Saccharomyces cerevisiae S288C: one gene and its partners. The gene in region 1 interacts genetically with each later gene. Each region holds a gene or a part of one and is shown on either strand. Other genes may lie near its edges.

The links.
Region 2: mutations in STB3 (region 1) and ATG42 together harm fitness more than expected from each alone (negative genetic interaction), as found in Saccharomyces cerevisiae (one large-scale study listed by BioGRID).
Region 3: mutations in STB3 (region 1) and MAK16 together harm fitness more than expected from each alone (negative genetic interaction), as found in Saccharomyces cerevisiae (one large-scale study listed by BioGRID).
Region 4: mutations in STB3 (region 1) and YPL039W together harm fitness more than expected from each alone (negative genetic interaction), as found in Saccharomyces cerevisiae (one large-scale study listed by BioGRID).

What each region holds. Positions count from the first base shown.
Region 1 is NC_001136.10:790,800-798,713, reverse strand, and holds STB3 (Stb3p), read left to right. Parts: upstream 1-4,824; coding exon 4,825-6,366; downstream 6,367-7,914. Other genes in the region: Arf family guanine nucleotide exchange factor SEC7, read left to right, coding at 1-2,521; YDR169C-A (uncharacterized protein), read left to right, coding at 3,991-4,140; Hsp90 co-chaperone CDC37, read right to left, coding at 6,866-7,914.
Region 2 is NC_001134.8:511,768-519,796, forward strand, and holds ATG42 (carboxypeptidase C), read left to right. Parts: upstream 1-3,896; coding exon 3,897-5,423; downstream 5,424-8,029. Other genes in the region: protein kinase MEC1, read left to right, coding at 1-1,007; YBR137W (uncharacterized protein), read left to right, coding at 1,277-1,816; YBR138C (uncharacterized protein), read right to left, coding at 1,995-3,569; GTPase-activating protein IRA1, read right to left, coding at 5,583-8,029. UniProt on the Saccharomyces cerevisiae protein: Vacuolar serine-type carboxypeptidase involved in vacuolar zymogen activation, breakdown of the autophagic body, and autophagosome-dependent protein synthesis.
Region 3 is NC_001133.9:99,725-107,304, reverse strand, and holds MAK16 (ribosome biosynthesis protein MAK16), read left to right. Parts: upstream 1-6,159; coding exon 6,160-7,080; downstream 7,081-7,580. Other genes in the region: dolichyl-phosphate-mannose-protein mannosyltransferase PMT2, read left to right, coding at 1-1,033; mitotic regulator LTE1, read left to right, coding at 1,433-5,740.
Region 4 is NC_001148.4:475,988-483,394, forward strand, and holds YPL039W (uncharacterized protein), read left to right. Parts: upstream 1-3,237; coding exon 3,238-4,188; downstream 4,189-7,407. Other genes in the region: isoleucine--tRNA ligase ISM1, read right to left, coding at 6-3,014; YPL038W-A (uncharacterized protein), read left to right, coding at 4,195-4,386; MET31 (Met31p), read left to right, coding at 4,548-5,081; EGD1 (Egd1p), read right to left, coding at 5,441-5,914; H(+)-exporting P2-type ATPase PMA2, read left to right, coding at 6,856-7,407.

The DNA of each region.
Region 1 (7,914 bases):
GTTATCAGAAGGAAATTACTTGGAGGGATCGTGGAAGGACATTTTGCTGGTCGTGTCTCAAATGGAAAGACTACAATTGATATCCAAAGGTATCGACAGAGATACGGTTCCAGATGTTGCACAAGCTCGTGTTGCAAACCCTAGAGTTTCTTACGAATCATCAAGATCCAATAATACATCTTTCTTTGATGTTTGGGGCAAGAAGGCAACTCCCACAGAATTGGCTCAAGAAAAACACCATAATCAAACCTTATCACCCGAAATCTCTAAATTCATTTCCTCCAGTGAATTAGTCGTTTTGATGGACAATATATTTACCAAAAGTTCCGAGTTATCAGGTAATGCTATCGTTGATTTTATCAAAGCTTTAACCGCTGTATCTTTAGAAGAAATTGAATCATCTGAAAATGCTTCCACACCAAGAATGTTTTCCTTGCAAAAAATGGTCGATGTATGTTACTACAATATGGATCGTATCAAACTAGAATGGACGCCGCTTTGGGCTGTTATGGGAAAAGCTTTCAACAAGATTGCTACAAACTCTAACTTAGCAGTAGTATTTTTCGCTATCGATTCCCTGCGTCAATTGTCTATGAGATTTTTAGATATTGAGGAATTATCAGGTTTTGAATTTCAACATGATTTTTTAAAACCTTTTGAATACACGGTTCAAAATAGTGGCAACACTGAAGTTCAAGAAATGATTATTGAGTGTTTTAGGAACTTCATATTGACAAAATCGGAAAGTATCAAATCTGGCTGGAAGCCTATTCTTGAATCCTTACAATATACGGCTCGCTCAAGCACTGAATCCATTGTATTAAAGACGCAATTGCTGGTTAGCAATGATATTGTGACAAATCACTTCGAAAACGTATTCTCTCAAGAAGATGCCTTTTCTGAGTTAGTTGGTGTCTTCAGAGAAATCACCAAAAATAAGAGATTCCAAAAGCTATCTCTACATGCTTTGGAGTCTCTAAGAAAGATGACTCAGAACGTCGCAGACATCTGTTTTTACAATGAAAATAAGACTGAAGAAGAAAGAAAACATAACGATGCTTTACTTCGTGGGAAAGACATATTCCAGGATGTGTGGTTCCCTATGTTATTCTGCTTCAATGATACGATCATGACAGCTGAAGACTTAGAAGTTAGATCACGTGCATTAAACTATATGTTCGATGCCCTAGTGGCATATGGTGGTAAATTCAATGATGATTTCTGGGAAAAGATTTGTAAGAAGTTACTATTTCCTATTTTCGGTGTATTATCCAAACATTGGGAAGTCAACCAATTCAATAGTCATGATGATTTAAGTGTTTGGCTTTCGACCACGTTAATTCAAGCCTTAAGGAACTTGATTGCCCTTTTTACGCATTACTTTGAATCGTTGAACAGAATGCTCGATGGATTTTTGGGTCTGCTGGTATCCTGTATTTGTCAAGAAAATGACACTATTGCTAGAATTGGGAGATCCTGCCTGCAACAATTGATATTGCAAAACGTATCTAAATTCAATGAGTACCATTGGAATCAAATAGGTGACGTATTCGATAAATTGTTTGATTTAACCACTGCTAATGAATTGTTCGATTATGATCCGTTACAGCAAGGAAGAAAATCATCTGTATCTCATCACCAAACAACTAATGATACCAGCCAACACTCAGATGATGATAGCAACGACAGAAGGGAGAACGATTCTAATATCAGTGAGACGGTCGAAAGAGCGCATCAAGAAGAATCCAGCGAAGACGTTGGTGGTGACATGGTTGAAACACTCAATGGGCAAACTAAGCTTAATAATGGCAATTCCGTTCCGACGGTAAAGGACGAATTGAATCCAAAGCCCGCTAGTCTAAGTATCCCCAAGAAAACTAAGCACATGAAACGAAACGAAAGTAACGAAGATATACGTAGGAGAATAAACATCAAGAATTCTATTGTTGTCAAATGTGTTTTACAGCTTTTGATGATAGAGCTGCTCAACGAATTATTCGAGAACGAAGATTTTGCCCACTGTATCCCTTACAAGGAAGCCATTAGAATTACAAGATTGTTGGAGAAATCGTACGAATTTTCTCGTGACTTTAATGAAGATTATGGGTTAAGAACAAGACTAGTAGAGGCTCGTGTAGTTGATAAAATACCAAACCTGTTGAAACAAGAAACGAGTGCTGCTGCAGTTCTCCTTGACATTATGTTTCAGTTGTATCTGAACGATGATGAGAAGAAGGCTGATTTAATAACTCGTCTGATCACCATTTGCATCCAGGTCGTAGAGGGTTATGTTTCTTTGGATGATAGAACCATGGAACGTAGTATCAATGCCTGGCGTTCAGTGATAGTTGAAATATTACAAGGTTACTACGAATTTGATGATGAAGACTTTAGACTATACTGTCCTGCTATGTATGCTCTGGTGATTCAAATATTAGATAAGAGCGTTCCAACGGAGTTGAGACATGCTATAAAACAATTTCTAAGCAGAGTTGGTGAATTATACCTTTCTACTGATTAAGGCTTTGTTGAATGGTCCAGCAGATTAAAATATGCTTAGTTGTAGAACACAGAAAAAATGAGAAGGTTGATATACTTTTACTCATATTAATCCTGATTTAGTGGCGGTGATCCTTTTTAGATTCGTTTAATTCATAAACAAGGTACATCATATAGCAATAACAAATATGTAAACTATGTAGAAAGACTTATCAAGTTTAGCCATTTTGGTCCTCATTCATGGGCATTTTATACTAACTTCATTTTTGCCGAAATAAGAAAGGATGTAATCTTAACCTAAAATATGTAAGCAATTAAGGGCGCACGTAGTCACTTGCGAACAAATAGGAAAAGAAAGAAACAAGCACGGATACTGAATGACTGAGTGTATTACTACACGATTTATCTCAACGAATTTAAGTGTGGAGGACGATCGGCTGCACGTAGGAGTCAACGTTTTTTTACTGTGTTCATCACAAAACCATTAAGCTGAGTCATCCATATTGCAAACAATAAGGTAGCACCGCTTCCATCAAAACACTAGAACATACCGATGTTTTCACGGATTTATTGGAAACAAATAGCAGATGAGGGCGTTTTTACTTGTAATGAAGGCGAATGAGAAGGCAAGGCTTACAGGCTTGTTGTTTATGCCAAGCATCAATACTCGCTATGGAGGAGCGCCATCAGCGATAACAACAAAGTTTGCAAGTGCTTGCTTGGATATAAAAGGCTTGACGCTTAAGATAAATAGGGCCATACTTGCTTGCTTTTACTATTTTTGTTCCTCATAAGCCTGATTGACTACGCTATTATAAACCCCTACATTATCCTATAATCAACTTCACTTGTGTAACGTTGAATGAGTTCAACTGAGTAATACTCGGTCGGAAATATACGCTCCATCTGGCAGGAAACATAGGCTGCATTTATATCTTGCACAATTATGCCCTTCGTAGGTGTATGTTTTCATGTTTTCCATTATGTCAATGTAGATGTATCTTTGGACAGGCAACTTTTGGATCAATAAAGCACAATTTTTGAGCAATTTGAGATATCCAGTATTTGTACGGGAGTCCCAAGATTGTTTAGCCTAAAAGGTTGAGGACTTGGATTATTCTTCCATCAAGCGCCTCCACCCCTCGCATCCTATTTCTTTTGAAGCATAGGGGACGAGACTGTCTGTAATTTATGGCGAAGTATGACAAGAAAGATTCAAACTTTGTTTTACGTATGCCCCAATAAATTCTATGGTAGCACTACTAGAGACGTATTTTGGTTTTGTAATAATTTTCAAACTGCTCGCTATGATTTGTTACAAGAAACAAACAAAAGACACGACCATAGGGTTCATGTTGGTGGTTGCGAAGCCACATCTTTAAAACATTACTGCAAATTCAGCAGGAGTGAGTAGCAAAATCGACAAAAACTAGAGTACGCAACATTCCCGGTCGTAAATTTCTTATCGTGGCGCCAGAACATTCCCGTCCAATGATGAGAATGTCTCTAAAACAAATGCAGTCACAGAGATTTTCTGCGACTTCTCGAGTGAGAATGTTGCTTATTGGTGCTAGTGGCTTGAGATCTTCGTCAAGCAAATTGGAATGCCCCAGATTCTCAAACAAGCACGGCAGAAACTGAAATACGGCCAAAATTATGAACCCTTTTGTGGGATCTTTGTAGAAATAGGACCTCAGGATAGTATGATGAAGAATGTTGGCATGCTATACAATACTACAGTCATTTGCATGAATTGGCTGCTTGTATAGGAATCAGGTTGCGTTGGCAATGATATTCCCATAATAACGTGCAAAAGTCCCTACGGTAGTAGGCTGATCACTCCGCACGTGCGCGCTGAGAGGGTAGAGGCGCCTTCCTTACCTTAGTAACCGAAGAGTGAACTATTTCAGATAGTCTTTATCCTTCTCATGTTCATCTCCACACAATCTCACGCAATCCACGCTATAATATAAAGATACAGGTACGGTAATACCATCCATATCCAAGACAAATCGATTATAAAAGACACTGATTGCAAACGGTGCCTGGCAATCCTGATCAGAAGCACGTTAAATTTATCGCAAAAAAGGGCGAACTGAGATTTTCAAGAGTCGTGTCAATAACCAGTTTCCAATCGGAGCACGTGAATTTGTAACCACTTGTAAACACGATTAAAGACCGTTACTAAATTTCCGCTGAAAAGAAGGAAAAAGAGTATAGTATCATCTGAATCATTCGGTGTACAAACGCCAAGCTCCTGCTTTGTGCTTTTCTAATAAATTGAAATTTTGAATAAAAAGACATTATTTCAGACTACCACTAATAATGTCAGAAAACCAAAAGGAGGTATCGCCTCCTCAAGCCATATCGGTCAAATCCGAGGCAAGCTCTAGTATATTTTCCAAACCTATCTCCACATCATCACCCGCTGGGTTAGCAGCCGCTCAAAGAGTTACGCCCGGGAAACTGTCCACTTTATTACTAGAAATGGGACCATTGGCCATTAGACACATTACACAGACCTTATGCCTAGATATTCCCTGTTTTAAAGATTTATCATCTTCCAAGCAAAGACGACTTATAATGAGTGCTATGGAAAGTGGTGATAAAGAAAAATCAGTGGTATTTGAAAAAATTGGATGGGGTCAATGGTCCGCGAAAAGAGTAGACCCTGCCAACTTTGATAAGGAGCTGGAAGCGACCAATTTTGCAAATGCAAAGGTGAAAGACTTGATTTCTCAAGAGAGTCAAAGAAGGAAAAGCAACAATTCAAATTCTAATTCAGGCGGCAAAGTTGAAATGCCTATGAAAGTTGAGCATAATATCACGAATATCGATGGAGCCACCACCCCGCCTACCGCTGTTGCTTCCACCACCATTCCTGTTAATATCAAACGCAGCAAATCTCCACTTGCAGCAGCAAACGTAGTATATATAGATGAAAATGCGCTAGCATCGGAAGATGAGGATGAGGAGTTTGATGAAGATGACCATCATTTACATTACCAAAACAAATCGAGGAACAGCAGTAATAATTTTGGAAAATCTTCAAATGGTGATCCCTATAGTTTCGGCAGGAGAAGGTCTCAAGTTGTGTTCGCCGATTCAACTCCCGAGAATATTGAGCATGAAATAATAGCACAAAAGATTAGACCGCTATTAAGAAATAGACGCCGTTCGAGCATAAAACCACATACACCTTTCATTTCCAAACTAAACACACACCAAGATTCATCCTACCTTTCCCCCAATACAACCTCAACGACAACCCCATCAAATAACAACAGTAACTCAAACCAGGCGAAGATAGATTTAGAGAAACTTACTGCGACAAGTGAGCCAACTTCAAGAAGAGCTTCTCGTCTGTCTGTATCGAAAGAATCAAGTATTAGATCGACACTTTTCCCAAACAAAAACTATTTGATCGTCACTACAAACCCTAACTCTAAAGCTACGTCGGTTTCCACCTCCCCTAAGCTAGAAGAACAGATGAATGTAAGTTCAAATCCGATAGTATTATCGGACAAGGAGAAACATAGAGTAGCTTCACAACACCTGAATGGGGAATCGTCGCCACAACTTGTTCCCCATTCTCATCATCAACCTCACTCAGATACAGACGAAGAAGACTGGGAATCAATTGGTGCAGCTTCTCTGAGAAATAACAGTTTAGCACCTAACATAGACAGCGTAGCAAGTTCTACTAATGGCGTAGTTAGCCCTAAACCTACAAATCCAAGTTTTACTAACTCTCAGAATGGAGATATTGAGCCTCCCCTACAACACGACCAACAGAAACATGAACAGCAGCCAAGAAATGGGGAAGACAATAGTGCTGCGTTTTTATTAATGAGCTTAAAATCTTAAGAATTCTTTACCAGTTCCATGAAATAACAAAAAAACAGTAAAAAAAAAATGAAAATGAAAAAAGAATACATATTTTGTTTTAATGAAAGTTTGTTACCAAGTTTTGCTTTAAGTTTATCATCTCTGAATAATTATTTTGTCTTTTTTGTCACCACTTTTTTCTTGTCACATTTTTTTCTTCTTTTCATATTCATTTCATATATTAGCCCGTTCAATATATTTCAAAAGACCCAGTATTTTTCACATTTTACCCTTCCGATTCTTTGTGTAGTATATACAAATTACAAAAACACACACTGAGAAAAACATGCACTAATAAAAAATAAGATATTATGTACTAACGTAGGAAAGCAGGTACAAAACCTCTGCTGTAATTTCACGATTTTCTTTATTGATCATTAATTTTCTTCTTTTTTTTTTTTGTATTATGTATAAATGAAAATAACAATAAAAAAGGAAGTAGATGCACGCTGCACCAGTAAAATAGCTACATAAATTTCTAGTCAACAGTGTCGGCAGTATGTTTGACCTCTTCATGGTTATCTCCGCCACCATCACGGTCGTTTAAGGACAGATTCTCCATAGTGGCGTCTTCATGGTCCTGTTCGTATTGATCTTTCAAACTTTGAAAGTCTTTCTCGTTTTCTAAGATCGCTTTTATTCCAATAATGTCAATGTCATTAAACACTTCCAAAAGTTTCTCAGCCTCTTCAATTGGTATATCTTCAAAGACTTTATTAATATTATCCAAATTTTTGGTCATTATGGCTTCTTGCATTTTTTCCGGTATTAAAGTTTTGAAAACTTTAACCTTTTTCATCTCTTCTGGATCTTTAGAATTGAAGTCTGGCAAGTTTACTTCTAATTCTGTAGAATCATCTAGAGATTTCAATTGAATCGTCTCTACTCCTTCAGCATTCGATTCATCCATTTCCTCTTGTTGTAAAATTTTGGAACGTTTTTGAATGTGCAAAAATTTTTCTTGAACTGATCTCAAAAAAGACTCTTTACCCATTGGCTTGTCCTTGTTGAAGATAACCTTCTCGAAAAACATATTAATGACATTTGATAGTTCCATTGGATTTAAATATGGAATTTTCTTCATGTCGTAGATTTCCTTAATGTAGGCCATCAATTCGGATTGATGAATGACTTGCAAAGTCATCTTATCGTCACCATGTAACTGATACTCAAAGGCCTTCATCATTAAGGCGTCCTTTTGTTGTTCTGAAATAATAGGTAAGTGCTCCAGTAAGAATTTCTGAGATTTTGAGTACTCATTAATGGATATTTTACCGAATTCTTCAGTTTCCTTGGCCAGTTTCATAGGATCATCTTTAAAATCGATGAAAGTTTGCGGAACTGATGATTTTGCTAGTTTATTAAGAATATTAGACTCTGCAGCGCTCGAAAGAGCTTCTGAAGGAGTTGCTTCCAGTGGCTTAGCCCCCCCCTTTTGCTTGTTCATAAAGCTACTATCAAAGCCTGTATGAATGTCTTCAGATGAAATGTGTGCATTTTTCTCCTTGTATAATTCATCTAATTTCT
Region 2 (8,029 bases), on another chromosome or scaffold:
TGAGGGGCTATCAACCATTTAGGCCGGTTGTTTCTATAATTAGATTCGGATCATCTTATAAAGTGTTTTCTTCATTAAAGAAGCCAAAACAATTGAACATAATAGGTTCAGATGGCAACATTTATGGGATCATGTGTAAGAAGGAAGATGTCCGACAAGATAACCAATATATGCAGTTCGCCACAACAATGGATTTTCTTCTGAGTAAGGACATAGCTTCAAGAAAAAGAAGCCTGGGCATAAATATTTACTCCGTACTATCTCTTCGAGAAGACTGTGGGATATTGGAAATGGTACCGAATGTTGTAACTTTAAGATCTATTCTTTCTACAAAGTACGAAAGTCTGAAAATTAAGTATAGCCTGAAAAGTCTACATGATAGGTGGCAGCACACCGCAGTAGATGGAAAACTCGAGTTTTACATGGAACAGGTAGATAAATTTCCTCCAATCTTGTACCAATGGTTTTTAGAAAACTTTCCTGATCCAATCAATTGGTTCAACGCCAGGAATACGTATGCCAGATCTTACGCCGTCATGGCAATGGTTGGCCATATATTAGGTCTAGGTGATAGGCACTGTGAAAACATATTACTAGATATACAGACGGGTAAAGTTCTTCATGTAGACTTCGACTGTTTATTTGAGAAAGGCAAAAGGTTACCTGTCCCAGAAATTGTTCCCTTCAGACTAACACCAAATTTATTGGATGCGTTGGGCATAATTGGGACAGAAGGAACATTTAAGAAGTCTAGTGAAGTCACGTTGGCTTTAATGAGAAAAAATGAAGTAGCGTTGATGAATGTGATCGAAACAATTATGTACGATAGAAACATGGACCACTCAATTCAAAAAGCGCTAAAGGTCTTAAGAAACAAAATCCGCGGTATAGATCCGCAGGATGGCCTGGTATTGAGTGTTGCTGGCCAAACAGAAACATTGATCCAAGAAGCAACATCAGAAGACAATCTAAGCAAGATGTATATTGGTTGGCTTCCATTTTGGTAACGACTTTCCACCATTTTCGGCAACAGACGAACTTCCTCTTGATCTAACCATCACTGCAGGTGCTTTTCTCCGGCGGAGTTAATAGATACTTATCCCCGCTTCATGTCATACTATCTCTCTTAACAGGGATGTTGACACCATATAAGTTAACATAACATATACGTACGTAATAATATTAAGGACTATCTCGCATTTCAAAAGAGAAACAACCTAATCAAGCCTTATTATAAGAGCAAATTATTCAAAAAAAGTCTACGGAGAAAATTATTATGGTGGTTTTAGACAAGAAGTTATTGGAAAGATTGACTTCTCGTAAGGTTCCCTTAGAAGAGCTCGAAGATATGGAAAAACGATGCTTTTTGTCTACTTTTACATATCAAGATGCCTTTGATTTGGGGACTTACATAAGAAATGCAGTTAAAGAAAATTTCCCCGAAAAACCAGTTGCAATTGATATCTCCTTACCAAATGGGCATTGCTTGTTTCGCACAGTGACCTACGGTGGCAGTGCATTGGACAATGATTTTTGGATCCAGAGAAAGAAGAAGACAGCGCTTCGATTTGGTCATTCAAGTTTCTATATGGGCTGCAAGAAAGGTGACAAAACACCGGAGGAAAAGTTTTTTGTGGACTCAAAAGAATACGCTTTCCATGGAGGTGCTGTCCTAATACAATCGGAGAGAAGTGACTACCCCTATGCCTGCTTAACTATAAGTGGATTGAAGCAGGAAGAAGACCATTTAATGGCAGTCAGCTCTTTAATTGCATTTGCTAATGAAAGTCTAGAAGAAGATTTGAATTTGGATTGAGAATGTAGGTAGAAGTAAAATAGAGGCTTGAACACCATAGAATATTTTTTACCCGTTACTAGTATAACTGTTATTTAGTCGTAAGCTTTTCATATATATATTGATTGTTTTGCCCTTGAAAAAATACACAGCACCAATGCAGTCCTGTTTGTTTTAGTGATCTCTTAGCAATGTATTTTCAAGGTTGAAAATTTAAACGATCACTATTTTGATTGCGTAAGAAATGCGGAAGTAAACCATTTATTCTCCACTTCCACTTCAATTTTCTTCTTGCTTCCAAAAACCAATTCATTGATTTAGAGCCCATTGCATCTTTATTAAAATGATGTTTGATTGACTTATCATTTTCTAGCAATTGCAACTGCAATCGTTCTATTAGTTCCTTAGAGAAGCTGTCCTTTTTTTTTGATATTTCCTTTTTAAGGTCGATCTTGTTATCTTCTATGTGCCTATTTATTTTTTTTGGAACATCTGTCGATAAATGAAACGGTTCTGCTGAATTCTCTAGATCACTAAAAGTACCGCTGCTTAGATTTGATTCATCCATAGATGATTCGAACTCGCAGTTCTCAAAGATTTTAGCGGCTTCTTCATATCTAACTGTGCATTGCTCACATACAATTTCTTTATAGTATCCTGAATTTAAAAGTCTCGAGCTAATTTCATATAGGGCCTTTTCGCAGATGACACATTTCCTCAGTTGGGAATGAACATTTAATTCCGATAGATAAAGATCATCGTAACTTTTATTGGAAGATGGAATATTAACCAAGTTAACCACCATATTTTCAATGGAATTTGGTATGGAAATATCACTTATTTCAATTTCCTCTTTGATAAAATCTAAGGGGTTGTTACTTTCGTCCCTATTTTCTTCAGTATTCCTTAATATATGGGGTATCAGTGTTAGTGAATTCGGTTCAAAGCTATTTCTATTGGTTTCCTTATTAATTTCAGAATATGAATTTTTTACTCTCAGCGGGATATGATTATCTCTTCTTTTACTTAGTTTTGATTTCAAATCTGAAATAGATACCATTTTTTTTGTTGATTTACTTTGGGTATACGGTATGTAGTCTTCAACCAGGACTAGCGGTGGTATATCCTGAGAAGTATTTTCTGTTAGCTCGTAGTTTTTTGTATCTAAACTCGGCCCATAACTGACGTACCTATTACGTTTGTTGTTATGCACTCGCAGTTCATTTACAGGATTCAACCTGGGCCGTTTTTTATTGTTGTTGTATTCGTTGTTTCCACTGTCATCTTCATTAGTTTCGATATTGCATGGAGGCGCAATTGGCAAAGACGTAAAGCTCTTGTCATCAATTAGATCTAATTTGGAAACAGATTGGTACAATTTGGATGGAATTTTAGGCTTGGCACCTATCAATTGTGAGCGACGCTTTCTTACATTCAATAACTGTTGGTTCTGATTTTCACTTTGACTATTGCCTTGGTATGGAGAATTTCTCTGCAATGGTTTTGCCTGCTTCGAAGGAGTGCTGTTACTATCGAAGATAAATTCCTTCTTTTCAAATTGCCATTGTAACATGGAGTTATTCTCTATATCCTGGACGACTGGAGGAGTCAAGGGCCTGGAAAGTACGGATCCTGTAGAAATATCACTGGCAATTATACTGAGTTTATTGTTGGTGTTGCTATTCATATTTGAGCTGGTATTGGACGAAAGCAAGGATAATGAGTTTGTGTCTACTGACTCCAACACCCTAGGCTGGATTTGATCTTTCTCCATCCTTTAATTTTAACCTTTTAATTAGTGGTTGGATCAAGTTTTCGAGACTATTCCAATCTGTGACTTGTTGGATAAATAGTTTTTGACTCGTTTAGTATAATCCTTTTTTCTAAAAGTGCTTAGAGTTCTCTAAGATGTTCTTGTTTACAATGTGAGCGATTTAGGAAATTTCCTAAAAATGGCCGAGGCGGCGCTAGCATTCTACGAAAGGTGAGATAACGCTTCGTTATCGAAAAATGTCAGGGGACAGGGGTTATATAAGAACGAAAATTGTCATCCTGCATTTTTTCTTTAAAACAGCTATACAAAAAGTGATACCGACATACAATGAAGTATCTAAACTTAGTTTTCGTGCTTCAGCTTCTTATTAGCATCAAATACGCCTCATTCGGCCGAGCCTTTTCTCTTTTTGAAGATGATACCACCTTTGCCAATTTGGATAAACAGCTAAAGCTTCCACAGAATACACAGCAAACCCTTAAATTGGACCGTTTGAATCACGATGATCCGCTGTTTACAACTTTTATTTCTTCTGTGGACACAGATTACAGTTTGAGACTTAGAACAGTAGATCCTTCTAAACTAGGAATTGACACCGTAAAACAATGGTCGGGTTACATGGACTATAAGGATTCCAAACACTTTTTTTACTGGTTTTTTGAAAGTAGGAACGATCCTGCTAACGACCCAATTATTCTTTGGTTAAATGGTGGACCTGGTTGTTCCTCGTTTACTGGGTTGCTATTTGAACTAGGCCCCTCATCAATTGGCGCCGATATGAAACCAATCCACAATCCCTATTCTTGGAATAATAACGCTTCAATGATCTTCTTAGAACAGCCACTCGGAGTCGGCTTTTCCTATGGTGATGAAAAAGTCTCCTCTACAAAATTAGCAGGCAAAGATGCGTACATTTTCCTGGAATTGTTTTTTGAAGCTTTTCCTCATTTACGCTCCAACGATTTCCACATTGCAGGCGAATCCTATGCAGGACATTATATCCCTCAAATTGCACATGAGATCGTTGTCAAGAACCCTGAAAGAACGTTCAATTTAACTTCAGTTATGATTGGTAATGGTATCACAGACCCTTTGATTCAAGCAGATTATTATGAACCAATGGCATGCGGGAAAGGGGGCTATCACCCTGTTCTCTCATCAGAAGAATGTGAGAAAATGAGTAAAGCTGCAGGTCGTTGTCGTAGGTTGAACAAGTTATGTTATGCTTCTAAATCAAGTTTACCATGCATAGTCGCCACTGCTTACTGTGACTCTGCACTTTTGGAACCGTACATTAACACAGGACTCAACGTCTATGACATTAGAGGGCCCTGTGAAGATAATAGTACTGATGGTATGTGTTATACAGGTCTCCGCTATGTCGACCAGTATATGAATTTTCCTGAAGTTCAAGAAACGCTAGGGTCCGACGTGCATAATTATTCTGGCTGTGATAATGACGTGTTCACCGGATTTTTGTTTACGGGCGATGGAAGTAAACCATTTCAACAATATATTGCTGAATTATTAAATCACAACATTCCGGTATTAATATATGCGGGTGATAAGGATTATATTTGTAATTGGCTGGGAAACCATGCTTGGTCCAATGAGTTGGAATGGATCAATAAACGTAGGTATCAGAGAAGGATGTTAAGACCATGGGTCAGTAAAGAAACAGGTGAAGAGTTGGGACAAGTCAAGAACTATGGCCCTTTCACCTTTTTGAGAATATACGATGCCGGTCATATGGTGCCCTATGATCAACCGGAGGCAAGTTTGGAAATGGTCAACAGTTGGATTTCCGGTAATCGTGCTTTTTCGGATCTTTCCACCTTGGAAAATGCTAGTTAGTAGTGCTCTAAAAATGTTTCACTCTTAACCTTGCAATCATTATACTTTACACAAATCTCTACGTTTCATTTAATTTAAAATCTACAATCCAACAAATATAAAACAAAATATAATTATAAGGAAAAACGTATATAATCACTGCAATACTCTAATTTAAAATTAGGAGCACGACATTCTTGCCAGTATCATTGTTGCTAATCTTTTTCTCTCATAAATTGCCACTTGATGTTCACCCTCTCCTTTTAACTTTTCTATATGTTCCTGATCAAAAATATCCAGAGGCTTCACAACTGACAAGCCTCTCTTTTTTAAAAGTTCGACCATTTCATCATTAAATTCCTCTAGGTAATTAAACTCACTGTGTGTAACAAGCATCCCAATCAATTCAAAAGAGACAGCAACCGCTTCAGATGATTGTTCTAGGGTTGATAACCTCCTGAATTCCTTTCTAGTCAGCGTATAGAACCTGAATACACAAATAGGGTTGACTTTGAGCAAATACCTCATCAATAGAGCAAAACGGAATTTACATGGTTCGTCTGACATAACACAGCTAAACAAAAGTGCTCCTTGGTATAAGACTATATTAGATTTATCTGAGTCTGAACTTAGCCAGTTGATCAAAGTAAGTGGCACTTTTAGTGTATTATTTAAAGGTACCAGTTCATCTTCGAAGCCGACTTCAAGTAACAAGGTAGAAAGTTGTTCAGGACTTAAGACCAAATGGAGTAAGAAAAGGTAACAAAGATAATCGGAGGATTTTGGGTTGGACTTTCTTTCGTAATATGTATTCTTGAAAAGGGCCTGTAGACAATCTAATGCGGCTCCTTTTACGACAGGAATGGATAAACCGTTTGCAATGAAACCTAAAATAATATGAGGAAAATTATCTTCGTTCCATATGCATCCATTGTATGACTCTAACTTAGCCAAAAGCGTAGCAGCAAAATTTCTAGATTCCATTAATTTTTTGGCTAGCGATTTGCCATCGAATCCAAGTTGAAGATGGACCGTGTACAGTCGCTTCAAACAATTTACCATGAACAGGAGACCACCTTCAAAGAGTAAAGGATGAGGGGATTCAACACATATTGTAGCAAGCCAAAATAGCTCTTTCATTAATTCTGAAGAAGGATCTAACCCTTCGACAATTTTGCTGTAAGTAAAGACATGAGCTATAATGATGAACATTTGTTCATCATCCACAACTGGCTCTGCGAAGACCTTCATGGTTTCAACTAAAAGTTCTTTACAAAGGAAAAGGGACGTGTGCGACTTACTCATTATACCTAGAATCATCATAGCTCTCGCAGAGAAGAACGACCGATGGCCAAAAATCGCATCCATCAAATATTTCTTATATTTTGCCTCCCATTGTGCACCCTCTGAAATAGAACCATATTCCATCAATAGCATAATGTTTTTAGTGAAGAGATCTAATGTTCCGAATTTACTGGAGAAGGAGGAAGCGGCAAAATTTGGTAAAACTCTACCTTTTTCTTGGCTAAAACCGGAGATAAAGTTCAACTTTTGACGTGCGAATGTTGCACAGACGATATCCAAATTTTTCCTATTCCTTTCAGGTAAGGACTCATTGTTGGTTAAAGAATGACAAACATTCATCAACAACTCGTACAATGAGACTCTTATTTCCGAAGGACCGACATCAATTAACAGAGACACAGCGAAAAGAATCTCCGGTAAATACATCTGGGAAAGTAAGGGTGATTCAAAGAAAATTGACACACTAATTTTTGATAAAATAGTAAGCTCAGACCAACTGTGTGCGGAAGCCTCAACTGCTAGAGAAGGTAGAAAAGATTTGATCATATTTATTAGCTTCTCTATTACCTGACAAGCAATCTCTGTCGTTGGAAAACTGGTTAGTATTGACACAGCTTTCATCCAGTCTCTGTTTTCTGAATCTCTATCCAGCGCATGACTTACTATTTCTTCAACTATCACGTTCGTGAGACGACCATCCAATGCCAGTAAAAACCAAATCTGTTGAAGGTAAGCTGTCGTGAAATTTGGCTCTTTGACCGTCAACCTGATTAAGCTATAGATTATACGTGAAATCGCCTCTGGTCCCTCTTCGTCATTTGCCAAATATACATGTTCATATAAGTTTGGTACCCAGTATGACAATGAACAGACAACCGTAGGAATATGTTCTTGAGGAATCACGTCGTTTTCAAGGCCATCCAGCATATATTTCCATATATATGGAGTTAGTTCCGTTGAAGATTCTGAAAAAGCCTTGAAAATTAGGGCCAAGAACGTGGTGGTATCATCGGGTACATATGTCTCTGGGGATTTGTGAAGCCTTGTCCCAAAATCTAAATTAAATGCTTCTTGCGTTGCCACGAGAAGGTTGTATGATATGTTTTTGACGAGATCATCCTCATTGAATAAACCTACAAGGATCACCAATGACAAATGTGATATAATTTCACCAACTTCTTTAACATTGCAGTAAGAAGCATTAACTGCTGAAGAGGATGTTGAAAATGAAATATCGTTCGAAAAATCCGTACCAAAGTCTTCTTCCATCTTTAACTGGGCATAATAAAACATTTTCACAATTTCTAGGTACTTCGGACTGC
Region 3 (7,580 bases), on another chromosome or scaffold:
TAGATTGGTACACAAAAGCACGGGCAGAAACTTGCACACCCACCCAGTTGCTGCACCAGTGTCAAAGACACAATGGGAGGTTTCTGGTTACGGTGACAATGTTGTTGGTGACAACAAAGACAATTGGGTTATTGAGATCATGGACCAAAGAGGAGATGAAGACCCTGAGAAGTTGCACACATTGACCACCTCTTTCCGTATCAAGAACTTGGAGATGGGCTGTTACTTGGCTCAAACCGGTAACAGTTTGCCCGAATGGGGTTTCAGACAACAAGAGGTTGTCTGCATGAAAAACCCATTCAAGAGGGACAAGAGGACCTGGTGGAACATCGAGACCCACGAAAATGAAAGGTTGCCACCAAGACCCGAAGATTTTCAATACCCAAAGACCAACTTCTTAAAAGACTTCATTCATTTAAATCTAGCCATGATGGCCACTAATAACGCTTTGGTGCCAGATCCAGACAAATTTGATTACTTAGCTTCCTCAGCATGGCAATGGCCAACTTTGAATGTGGGTTTGAGACTATGTGGCTGGGGTGATGATAATCCAAAATACTTCCTATTGGGTACCCCAGCTTCCACGTGGGCTTCTAGTGTTGCCGTCCTCGCATTCATGGCCACGGTCGTTATCTTACTGATCAGATGGCAAAGACAATATGTGGACCTAAGAAATCCATCTAACTGGAACGTTTTCTTAATGGGCGGGTTCTACCCACTACTAGCTTGGGGCCTACACTACATGCCATTCGTTATCATGTCTAGAGTCACCTACGTTCATCATTACTTGCCTGCCTTGTATTTTGCACTGATCATTTTGGCGTACTGTTTCGACGCCGGTTTGCAAAAATGGTCCAGATCTAAGTGCGGCCGTATCATGCGGTTCGTCCTATACGCCGGATTCATGGCACTTGTAATTGGTTGCTTCTGGTACTTCTCCCCAATATCATTTGGTATGGAGGGACCAAGTAGTAACTTCCGCTACTTAAACTGGTTTTCCACTTGGGACATTGCCGACAAGCAAGAAGCATGAATTAAGATCATCGTAGTAAGTACATAAGTAAAAAACAAGAATTAAATAAAATTTCTATATCAACCAGCAGAAGAAGTGGTCTATATAAACCACTATATAATGAATTTCGATAAACACTCTTTAATTGTTAACCAGGCTGTTCTCCTTACTCATCTTTGCGATCCGATGCTGTTTTATTACCCTTCTATTTTTTCCTTTCTGCATTTTGATTTTCGCGAATAATGAAATTCTTGATCTTTTTATCAACAATGAAAAAAAAACTGTAAACAGAAACTGATAATTTCTTGAACCCTTTAGCCCACCCCAACCGTACTCGTGTTATTCGCTCGTTGATTTACGCGAACCTTTTTGTTTGCTTTACATAGCCTCTAGCCATTCAAAGATTCGCTACCCTGAACCATGGAAATATTTAGCCAGAAAGATTACTACCCGACTCCATCCTCAAATGTTATTAGCTATGAAAGCGATTGTGTATCCAAACCAGTGAATAGTGCAGACCTGCCCGCGTTAATTGTACACCTTTCTTCCCCTTTGGAAGGTGTAGACTACAACGCATCTGCAGATTTTTTCCTTATTTATAGGAATTTTATAACGCCTCAAGACTTACACGACTTACTCATCTATAGATTTCGATGGTGTATTAGGGAGATCACAACAAATGCTGCAAAAGCTAAGAGAAGGCGAATTGGTGAAGTTGCCCTCGTGAGGACGTTTGTGTTGTTGAGGCATTCCATACTGAATTATTTTGTGCAAGATTTTTTACCGAACATAACATTAAGACTTCGGTTGATCGAGTTTCTAAACGACAAACACATTGAACAGTACCCAAAAATAATTTCCAGCTGTATAATCAATCTGAAAAAAAACTGGGTGCATTGTTCTAAGTTGGTTTGGGAGAATATTGAACTAAATGAACCTGATAAATTAGACTTTGATGCATGGCTGCATTATTCGTTAAAGGATTTCACGCAACTAGAAAGCCTACACAAAAGAGGAAGCCGACTGAGCATTTACGCCAGGCAAAGTTTTGCCAGTCCTGATTTTCGTAACCAAAGCGTTTTATCATTATATAAAACTTCTGATGTATTTAGACTGCCGGAGAAGCTACAGTCTTCAAATTCTTCCAAAAACCAGAGAAGCCCTTCTATGCTTTTATTTCCCGATAATACATCAAATGTTTACTCGAAGCACCGAATAGCGAAAGAACCTTCAGTTGATAATGAAAGCGAGGACATGTCAGATAGTAAACAAAAGATCAGCCACTTGTCAAAAGTCACTCTAGTATCCACACTAATGAAAGGCGTAGACTACCCGTCATCATATGCAGTCGATAAAATAATGCCTCCAACACCGGCTAAAAAAGTTGAATTTATTCTGAATTCCTTATATATTCCTGAAGATTTAAATGAACAAAGCGGAACGCTTCAAGGTACATCGACGACATCATCTCTAGATAACAATAGCAACAGTAATAGTAGATCTAATACATCTTCAATGTCTGTGTTACATCGCAGCGCTATTGGTCTTTTAGCTAAGTGGATGAAAAACCATAATCGCCATGATAGCAGTAATGATAAAAAATTTATGAGTGCTATTAAACCAGCAAACCAGAAACCTGAAATGGATGCGTTTGTCAAATACGTTGTATCAATATCATCTCTCAATAGAAAATCTTCCAAGGAAGAAGAGGAAGAGTTTCTTAACTCTGATTCTTCTAAATTTGACATCCTAAGTGCAAGAACCATAGATGAAGTGGAGTCCCTACTGCATTTACAAAACCAGCTGATAGAAAAAGTTCAAACACATTCGAATAACAACCGAGGTCCTACAGTTAATGTTGATTGTGAACGTCGGGAACACATACATGATATAAAGATTTTACAACAAAATAGCTTTAAACCGAGTAATGATAATTTTAGCGCTATGGACAATTTGGATCTGTATCAAACCGTAAGTTCAATTGCTCAGTCAGTCATCTCTTTAACTAATACTTTAAACAAGCAACTGCAGAACAATGAATCGAATATGCAGCCATCACCCTCGTATGATGCACTGCAACGAAGGAAAGTAAAAAGTCTCACGACAGCATATTACAATAAAATGCACGGTAGCTACTCAGCAGAAAGTATGAGGCTCTTTGATAAAGATAATAGTTCTTCACGTACAGACGAGAATGGACCTCAAAGATTGTTATTCCATGAAACTGATAAAACCAACTCAGAAGCGATTACAAATATGACACCAAGGAGGAAAAATCATTCCCAATCCCAAAAAAGCATGACTTCTTCGCCTCTGAAAAATGTTCTACCTGATCTTAAAGAATCGTCTCCCTTAAACGATAGTAGGGAAGACACAGAATCAATAACATACTCATACGATTCCGAGTTGTCATCCAGCTCTCCACCCAGAGATACTGTAACGAAAAAGTCAAGAAAAGTCAGAAACATCGTGAATAATACAGATAGTCCAACTCTAAAAACAAAAACTGGATTTTTAAATCTAAGAGAGTTTACATTTGAAGATACCAAGTCTTTAGATGAGAAAAAGAGTACTATAGATGGCCTTGAAAAGAATTATGATAACAAAGAAAATCAGGAATCAGAATATGAGAGCACAAAAAAGCTGGACAACTCACTCGATGCATCATCAGAAGCCAATAATTATGATATAACTACAAGAAAAAAACATTCATCTTGCAATCACAAGATCAAACAAGCAGTTGTAAGACCGGCTAGTGGAAGGATCAGCATTTCAAGAGTTCAAAGCATTGCCATAACACCAACCAAAGAGTTATCCATAGTAGATCCTGAGCAAAACAAGTCAAACTCAGTTATAGAGGAAATAAGTGAAATAGAACCTCTCAACCTGGAATATAATAAAAAAAGCGCGTTGTACTCTGATACATCGTCCACCGTTATCAGTATCTCAACGAGCAAGCTTTTTGAATCTGCTCAGAATAGTCCTCTAAAACAAACTCAAAATCCACAGAGAGAATTTCCCAACGGGACCAGCGTGAGTGAAACCAATAGAATCAGATTATCCATAGCACCCACAATAGAATCTGTTGTAAGTGATTTGAATTCGATTACCACTGGTAGCACAGTTGAAACTTTCGAAACGTCCAGAGATTTACCAGTGCCACACCAAAGGATAATAAATTTGAGAGAAGAATATCAAAGGGGTAATCAAGATATAATCTCAAATACTTCTTCATTGCATGAGTTAAAAACAATTGATTTAAGCGATTCCAATAATGACCTAGAAAGTCCAAGTACCCATGCGAAAAACAACAAGTATTTTTTTTCACCAGATGACGGTAGCATTGACGTTGCTTCTCCAATGAAAAACGTTGAAGAGCTGAAAAGTAAATTTCTGAAGAACGAGAGTGAAACTAATAGTAACATATCAGGAAGTGTATTGACAATGGACGATATCGACATTAATGACACATCTAGTGCCCGGAACACACGGAGAGCAAACTCTGAGTCGGCTTTTACAGGCTCCTTGAATAAGAAAAATTTAAATGAAATTGCTAATATGCTCGATGATTCAATTAATGACGATCCAATAACCGTGGCATTAATGAAACTGGAAGGTACATACGAGAAAATTCCCGAAAAACCAGAGAACACCAAGAGTAGTGACGCTATTGGAATTAAAACGAGCAAGTTAGCAGATGAAGTGGAAATGCTAAACCTTAACAACTTGCCGTCATTCCAAAATAGCCCCGCAGAAAAAAGAAAATCGTTATTAATAGAAAGAAGGAGACAAACTATAATGAATATCCCCTTTACTCCAGATCAATCCGAGAAGGAAGGCTTTACTTCCTCCTCTCCTGAAAAAATAGACGTGTCAGCTAATGTTGATGTTGCTGTGCAAGCGGCGCAAATCCAGGAATTAATCGGTCAATACAGGATTCACGATTCGAGATTAATGATTTCTAATAATGAAAGTCACGTTCCATTTATACTAATGTACGATTCCCTGTCTGTAGCGCAACAAATGACCTTGATAGAGAAGGAAATTTTAGGAGAAATAGACTGGAAAGATTTATTAGATTTAAAGATGAAGCATGAAGGCCCACAAGTTATAAGTTGGTTGCAACTACTAGTAAGGAACGAGACCTTATCTGGCATTGATTTAGCTATATCCAGATTTAACTTAACTGTGGATTGGATTATATCAGAAATACTTCTTACCAAGAGCAGCAAAATGAAAAGAAATGTCATTCAAAGGTTTATACACGTTGCAGACCACTGCAGGACATTTCAGAACTTTAACACATTGATGGAAATCATTCTAGCCTTAAGTTCTTCAGTTGTTCAAAAATTCACTGATGCATGGCGTCTGATTGAACCAGGCGACTTACTGACTTGGGAAGAGCTAAAGAAGATTCCCTCGCTAGACAGGAATTATTCTACAATAAGAAATCTACTTAACTCTGTGAATCCACTGGTGGGTTGCGTCCCTTTCATCGTCGTATATCTTTCGGACCTATCAGCAAACGCAGAGAAGAAAGACTGGATCTTAGAAGATAAAGTAGTGAATTACAATAAATTCGATACGAACGTTCAAATAGTCAAGAATTTCATTCAAAGGGTTCAATGGTCCAAGTTTTACACTTTCAAAGTTAACCACGAATTGCTGAGTAAGTGTGTTTATATTAGCACATTAACACAAGAAGAGATTAATGAACTATCCACATGAGGTATTGTGCCACTTTCCTCCAGTTCCCAAATTCCTCTTGTAAAAAACTTTGCATATAAAATATACAGATGGAGCATATATAGATGGAGCATACATACATGTTTTTTTTTTTTTAAAAACATGGACTCGAACAGAATAAAAGAATTTATAATGATAGATAATGCATACTTCAATAAGAGAGAATACTTGTTTTTAAATGAGAATTGCTTTCATTAGCTCATTATGTTCAGATTATCAAAATGCAGTAGGGTAATAAACCTTTTTTTTTTTTTTTTTTTTTTTTGAAAAATTTTCCGATGAGCTTTTGAAAAAAAATGAAAAAGTGATTGGTATAGAGGCAGATATTGCATTGCTTAGTTCTTTCTTTTGACAGTGTTCTCTTCAGTACATAACTACAACGGTTAGAATACAACGAGGATATGTCCGACGAAATTGTTTGGCAAGTGATTAATCAAAGTTTCTGCTCTCATAGAATTAAGGCACCTAATGGTCAAAATTTTTGCAGAAATGAGTATAACGTCACTGGGTTGTGTACAAGGCAATCATGCCCACTTGCCAACTCCAAGTATGCAACAGTGAAGTGTGACAATGGGAAACTGTACTTGTATATGAAGACGCCTGAAAGAGCGCACACTCCTGCCAAGTTATGGGAAAGAATCAAACTATCCAAAAATTACACGAAGGCTTTACAACAGATCGACGAACACCTACTACATTGGAGCAAGTTTTTCCGTCATAAGTGTAAACAGAGATTTACAAAATTGACGCAGGTCATGATAACAGAGAGACGTTTAGCATTAAGGGAGGAGGAGAGACACTACGTTGGTGTAGCACCAAAGGTCAAAAGAAGAGAACAAAACAGGGAGAGAAAGGCATTGGTAGCTGCCAAGATTGAAAAAGCCATCGAAAAAGAATTGATGGACAGATTAAAGAGTGGTGCTTACGGTGATAAACCATTAAATGTTGACGAAAAGGTCTGGAAGAAGATAATGGGTCAAATGGAAGAGGAGAATTCTCAGGACGAGGAAGAAGACTGGGATGAAGAAGAGGAAAGTGATGATGGGGAAGTTGAATACGTTGCAGATGATGGCGAAGGTGAATACGTTGACGTGGATGACTTAGAAAAGTGGTTAGCTGACTCTGACAGAGAAGCTTCCAGCGCCAGTGAAAGCGAAAGCGACAGTGAAAGCGAGAGCGACAGCGATAGTGATGAAGAAAATAAGAATTCAGCCAAGAGACGTAAGAAGGGAACTAGTGCCAAAACTAAACGTCCTAAAGTCGAAATCGAATACGAGGAGGAACACGAAGTTCAAAATGCTGAGCAAGAAGTGGCACAATAAGCTCACGCACTATACTACGCAACATTACATGATTTCAGTTTCTATTATTGAATGAACAGGATTTTTCCACGTGGATTGGGCAGCGCACTGTACCATAATAACAACCAGTTATAAAATATTTCAATTCTTTTACATATATAAAAATACATAAAGACTATTATTTTTGTAAGATGGCCCATTCTGTAACACTTAAATTTCTTATCAAAAAAAAAAAAAATAATACCTTTAGTAGCTGTTGGGCTAATAACATTGCAAATTAGAAGCTTACTATTAGAAGCTTACTATTACGGGATTATTGAGGTAAAGGTTATTTGAAGCGTAAATCACTGAAATCTTCCTGATCACGTGATTGGCTTTTTTTGCCAGAAAACCCAAATCTGTTTAATGCCACTAAGTTGAAGAAACATATAATCAACAATTGTTGGCAATTCTAAGGGGAATAGTGCAACAAGAAGCCAGTAACGCCAAATAGAGGTTAGCGCCAAGCAATAATTTACTGG
Region 4 (7,407 bases), on another chromosome or scaffold:
GTCATTCAAGACATGAGATGATCCACAGCTTCTTTACATCTGTCACACAATTTATCCTCTTCGGCTGAGTTGGCCTTCCAACATCTGGGACAGTTGTGCCTTTTGCTTCGTTCAACCAATATTTGAACGTTTATTCCGCTTCCCAATTCAATAGTTGGTAGACTGTTATTATTATCGTCCATTTGCAATATATCAACAGCAGATGATTGCAATATGTCGCAAAGCTCGTCAGAACTGAATGGGAGGTGATGCTTGGTGAAAATGGTAACGTGACTATGTGTTGTTTTGGTGACACCTTCTTCTAGACTTAACCTCTTGAATTCCTCCTGGAACTGTTTTAGAATTTTTAGTTCAAAGTTTTCAAAGGAGGTGACGATTTCCGTATTTGAGTCCAAAAACGGCCATTTTCCACGCATCGGATTAATGTCTATATGTTCTTGTCCTTGTAACCATCCTTCTGGTATATACTTCCATACTTCTTGGACCATAACGGGTAATATTGGTGCAAGAATTGCCCTATATGCATTTAGTATATGGACAAGCGTTGTTTGGACCTGCCTTCTTGCCAATGACGATATTTGGTTGGAATATAAAATATCCTTTGAGATATCAAAATAAAACGCCGATAGCTCGTTATTTAAATGATATTGTAGAGTAATGAGAACCTTGGAAAAGTTGTACTTTTGGTAGTGTTCTCTCGTCGTTTCCAGCAGTTCGTTTATCTTATACAAGGTATATTGATCAACACGGCGTAATTGTTCAATCGGCAAAAGGTTGAAATCTTGGGACTTCTGTAAATTACTCAATAAATAGCGAAAAGTTAGTCTAACCTTTTTTAGAGCTTCTCCTACATGTTTCATCACAGTCGGGCCAGCAACTATATCAGTTGTGAAATTCGATTGTGCTATCAGATACCTCAAGCCATCAACACCCAAAGCTGGTAAGCCTAAGTTTTCATCGCCTCGAATTATTGCTTCGGGAGAAATTGTATTTCCCACAGATTTTGACATTTTCAGACCATTCTCATCTAGGGTAAAACCATGAGTAATCACTTCTTCATATGGTGCAACAGGGACATTACTTGATGCTACTTTTGTTAGCAGTGAACTTTGAAACCATCCTCTATGTTGATCAGATCCTTCTAGACAAACTTGGTACAGGGGGGATGGGAGTTTTGACAACTTTAAGCTTTTTTCATAAAAGTCTTTGATCACACTCCATGACGACCCACTATCAAACCACACATCCATAGTATCTTGAGAACGACAGTATTCATGCGCTACGTCGTGATATTTTTCTGGCAACCATTCTTTCATGTCATTATCTTTATCGTTAAACCATGCATTAATTCCTTTTTGTTTGATTTTTTCTATGGCATGTGCCAAAATTTCTGAATTCATCAAAACAGAATCCGGTTCGCTCTTCTTGTAAAAGCTTAATATAGGGATACCCCATGAGCGTTGCCTAGATATGCACCATTCATTTCTGCTTTTCATAAAGGATGAAAGTCTTGAATAGCCTCTTTTAGGACAAAACTTGACGCGGCTGATGCTTTCCAGAGCCAAGTTTTTTACATCGTGTAAATCTGCAAACCACTGTGGAGTAGCTCTTATTATGACAGGTTTCTTGGATCTCCAGTCGTACGGATAAGAATGCGTGTATTCGTGAGATTTGTAAAGTAAATTAAGGTCGCTTAACTTACATAGAATGATTTTCGCGGTTTCGGCATCCAATACTTGCCTACCTTTTGTTAAGTCTCCTTCATCTCTCACGATGGATCTGACGGACTGAGGAAGTTCATTTAATTGGTAGCGGCCCTGGTGATCCACGGGAGAATAAATTTCAAGACCATTTTGAATACCAATGAGATAGTCATCCTGTCCATGCCCTGGTGCTGTATGAACCAATCCAGTCCCTGTACCGCTGGTAACGTGTGCACCATGTAATAAGGGCCTGCCAACCTTATCGTCTACTAAGAGGTTTTGATAATATAGCCCATTTAGATGAGTTCCTTGAAACTGTTTGATAGTCTCAAATGAGTTAGTTGTTAGGCCCAATTTATCAATGGAGCCGGTCTCTACAAGGATAAGTTCACTATTTAAGCGTAATAGGGAGTAGGAAAAATCCTGATTGAAACAGATTGCTCGATTAGAGAGAAGAGTCCATGGAGTACTGGTCCAAATCAAACAGTATATAGGCAAGTTATTCGTTATTCCTAGTTTTTTGCACAGATCCATCTGGGATTTCTTTTCAAGAGGAAATTTAACATAAGCAGCGATGGATTTATGGTTTTCATTATATTCTAATTCGCCCTCTGCTAACGCTGTTCTAGTTTCTGTACCCCAGTAAACCGGTTTGTTCTGTCTCTTAATCAGTCCTCTTTCGTACATTTCTTTAAAAATATTTAGCTGATTAATTTCATAGTCTTTATCCATTGTTAGGTATGGTGTTTCCCAGTCCGTTAAGATGGCAAAATGTTGGAAAGTTTCCCTTTGCCTCTTGATTGCCTTTTGTGCATGTTTTAAAGCCATTGACCTGATTTTTAAAGGCGATATTGACTCGATCTGTTGCGCGCTTAAATCTTTCAAAGCTTTAATCTCGATGGGTAGTCCATGACAATCCCAGCCAGGCTTATAAAAAATGTACTTCCCCTGTGAAAGTTGATATCTGTTTATGATATCTTTCAGAATTTTATTTAGAGCATGACCGAGATGGAGCTCGCCGTTGGCATAGGGCGGTCCATCATGTAAGATGAACAACTTTTCTTTAATGAACTCTAATTTTTCATCAGTCGTATTAAGCTTTGAAAATTCTTCGAAGAAATCACGTAGCTGCTCCTTGTAAACTAACTGCGAAGATTTTGGTATTAATTCCCTCAATGTAATCTCTAAGTTTGATCTATTAGGGAATTTGGTCTTGGGCAAGTTTAATGTTTTTTGGTAGGCATGTTTGGCGAGATATCGCTTGCTAATAATGCTAAAGATATGTTGAGGCACAAGCCTGGAGCGCTTCATAAGTAGCTAAAGATCGTTCTTAGTATACTGTGTTCCATAACTTCTAGCCTTGGTCCTTTATATTTGCTGTTTTTCTGCGTTTCTTAACTCGCTTGCGGAAAAAGAATCGACATTTTCAGAACAGGATTTTATTGTTTTTAAAGTACATTATATGGGGCGACACATCATCGCCATCTATGTTAAATATTTAAAGAATACGGGGTAGAATTATTCACGCTGGGGGATGCTGAAAGAGGAGTATAATTTGAGCGGTGCTGATAACATGGCATCTGCTGAGTTGTCATTTAAAAAGCAAAAAGTGGTATTGAAAAAGTTCATGATAGCGCAAGTGACTAAGGGGATTATGCAGCGGTATGCGAGCCTATTAGTTACCATGCCTAGTGATGATGACAATGCAATTATTGGCACAAATCATTTGAAAACAACCAAATTTTTAGAAATAATCCTACACAGAGCCAAATCATCGCATTTACAGTTCAAAAAGGTCTGTTGCATTGTCATCAAGTTTCTAGATTGCTGCTCGAAGGAAACTAACTACATGAAGTTTTTAAAGTTCAGCTTACACAAACTATTTGTAGCTGCTTTCATCTTAAGTGTGCCAAATGTTGTAGGCGATGACCGCGACAGGATTACCACGAGGGATGAAACCTATCATCTCTATTCCCAGATAACAGGCTTGCCACTGGAAGAAGTGATAAATTGTTGTTCTATTGTGAGGCCTGTACTTATTCGGCGGAGTAGACAACAACGCAGGCAAATGTTATCTCGACGTGAACAACATTCGTACTTCCTCAGAAGTTCTTTTATGAACTCCAATTCATCAGCATCACCTTTTTTCTCTACCAATAGGTCAGCTGATGATCTACATGTACATACAAGGGCATACTCGCTTCATAGCCATTCCGATGGGGAAGGCCAAGATAGGCGGTCGGAACATGAAGAAACGCATAGCATGGGGGCTGATGCCGATACATATCGACAAACTACGTTTATCCCAGACACACCAAATGGTTTGCATTCTAGATCATTAATTGAGTGTGGGATCGAACCCACCCAAGTAAGTGACTCTGGTGAATGGTCGGGTCAAAGTAACGGATATGTTTTGGTGACAGAATTACAGGAGTTTAACAAAATGGGTAAAAAGTTAGTACAAGAAGCTTTTAGGATAGTTTAATAAAGTATGGTTTGTCGTTTTGTTCATCATTCAAGGGTCATTTTTATTTCCATTTATGATTTCTTGAGTACAAAAGGCAAAAAAAACATGTATAATTATACACAAGAAAAAAAAACAAAACAAAAGAACACTTTCACACAAGCAAGTATATATTATGAGAATTTTTTCGAGTCTTACAGAACCATATCTTGCCTCTAAATTTTAGTCTAAAAATTTTGCTAGCCCATCAATTTTTTTTTTGTTCTAATGCAAAATATAACATGGGTAAGAAAAAGAAAAAGCCGTTCCTCAGTACGTAAAGAGATTTGATCATTAACAAGTTGGGCTCAATATACACAGTCGATAGTCTATATGTGCATATGAAACTGGCGCAAGACATGAATGTAGATGAAATATTTCTCAAACAAGCGGCAGAAGCTATAGCGGTAATCTCATCAAGTCCCACTCATACGGACCCCATAATACGAGAGCTACTCCACAGAATTCGACAATCCAGCCCATTGAGCGCAGTTATACCAGCACCAGAAAATGTTTTAAAGGCTGGGGAGCCGGAAAATATGGCTAGAGGTCTTATAAGGATTCCAGAAACACAAACAAAAAGAACAGGAGGTAACAACCATAGCAAGGAAGGCGCACAGCTCTACAGCTGTGCGAAATGTCAGTTGAAATTCAGCAGAAGTTCTGATCTGAGAAGACATGAAAAGGTACACTCACTCGTGCTGCCGCATATTTGCTCAAACTGTGGCAAAGGGTTTGCCAGGAAGGATGCTCTAAAAAGACATTCTAACACACTGACCTGTCAAAGAAACAGAAAGAAACTAAGTGAAGGTTCAGACGTTGATGTAGATGAGCTCATCAAGGATGCGATAAAGAATGGTACCGGCCTGTTGTAAGGCTAGAGGAAAACGTATTTGTCTCCATCAGCACACCTACACATACATATATAGATAGATATATACTTTAGCCATTGAGATAAGTAGAATAAAAAAACGTTGTAATATTCCGATACAGTTAGTGACATGTTCTCTACTTTTGCCAATTTTTTGCGCACAAAGTGGTGACGTACAAGTTCATCATTTCACGTGTGCAGCATAGTGTGGTATATTGTTTTTTTATATTTTATTTTTTATTTTTTTTTTTTTGCAGAAAACAGTGTTTGTATTATATGCTTTAGATATGCTAAAAAAAATGAAAAAAAATGGAACAAAATATGTGTTTTTTTATTTAACGTTAAAATTAAAGATTAAGTTATTTATTCGACGTCAGCATCAAAAGTTTGACCTTCAACTAACTCTGGAATAGCTTCATCCTTCTTTTCAGCATCAGCTGGAGCCTTGGCTTCGTGCTTTTCCATTTGGGCAGCCAATTGAGACAAGGCTTGGATGGCTTCAGGGCCCAATTGAGAGATAATACCTGGGAACAAATCTTGCAAGTTCTTTTCCTGTGGTAGACCGTAGAATACAGAAGTGTTGTGTTGAGCAGCAACTTGGACACCGACCTTGTTGAAGTGCATGACCTTACCGTCGTCCTTGAAAAAGTTGGCTTCGGCGACGTTGTCAATGGTGACAGCGTGCAACTTAGCTAATTGACTTTGCAACTTGGTGTCATCCTTGTTGGCACCGGCAGAAGAGCCTGCCTTCTTGTTAAGCTTTCTTCTAGTACCACCAACTTTGTTGTTAGCAGACAACTTTTGTAGCTTAGCTAATTTTTCTTGGTCAATTGGCATTATGAATTATGAGTCGCGTCTGGTGTGAGATGTTCTATTCTTAAACCTCCCTAGAAAGAATATTCGCTCTCTTGTGACAAAGGAGGGGTTACTACTTAACAAGCAATTGCAGCTGTTTCCACTACGAAATCTTCCAATGTCAACGAAAAAAATTCAAAAATTTTCTGCTTTTTTTTTCAACATCTGCCGTACTAAATGATTCCACAATAATCCATCATATACCATTACCCTGATTCCCATCGAAGAAAAGGCGGTGTCCCCTTACCCGTCCGCTCATGCCAAGAGATTAATTCATAACCGCTCTTCCTTGGATCAGAAGTGAACATATGAAGTTGCAACTACTACATACTTACTACCGTAGTCCATCATCAAGGACCCAAACATTCACGACTCCAGCGCGCCACGTTCTTCGCCATACTGCTTAACATTTTGGTACGAGTGCGAATTAGGGAAGTCGATGATAAAATAGAATATGCGAAAAAGAGGAAGAGCAGCCGTGAGAAAAAAGAAAAAAAAAGGCCTAAGGTATTCTCTACTCCAAAATCGTCGAGGGAGGGCAAAAGAAATTTTTTTTGTTTAAGGGAATTGCGAAGTCAATTGATTGATGAAGTAGCTTCTCTGGAAAAATGGCGGACAGACGCTGCTCAAATAACCGTCGAAGGGGGAAAGGTTATCGGTGGAAACATATTTGTAAGTACATAATAGTGAATTTACTTCTTGTCGGCGTCCCCTAAACGTAATTGGCGGTGTGATGGTACTTCGTTATATAAAGGTGTGTAATATCCTCTTTTACCATCTATTATTTCTTCCAGCATTTCTTGCTGGATAACCTACTGTATCCAAGCTACTGGGCTTTTTTAAACATACCCATAACTTTTTTTTTTTCATTTTTCGTTGCTGTGTGCTAGTACAATTTAAGCAAAAGGAAACTGTTTTGCGTTATGTCTTCCACTGAAGCAAAGCAATACAAGGAGAAACCCTCGAAAGAGTACCTCCATGCCAGTGATGGCGATGACCCTGCAAATAATTCTGCCGCTTCTTCGTCATCTTCGTCTTCTACATCAACTTCCGCCTCGTCATCGGCTGCAGCCGTTCCACGGAAGGCCGCAGCCGCTTCTGCCGCTGATGATTCTGACTCAGATGAAGATATAGACCAATTGATTGATGAACTACAATCTAACTACGGTGAGGGTGATGAATCTGGTGAAGAAGAAGTACGTACTGATGGGGTGCACGCTGGCCAAAGGGTTGTTCCTGAAAAGGACCTTTCTACGGACCCTGCGTATGGTTTGACTTCGGATGAAGTCGCCAGGAGAAGAAAGAAATATGGGTTAAATCAAATGGCTGAGGAGAATGAATCGTTGATTGTGAAGTTTTTGATGTTCTTCGTAGGGCCTATTCAATTCGTTATGGAGGCTGCTGCTATTTTGGCTGCCGGTTTGTCTGATTGGGTTGATGTCGGTGTCATCTGTGCTTTACTGCTATTAAACGCA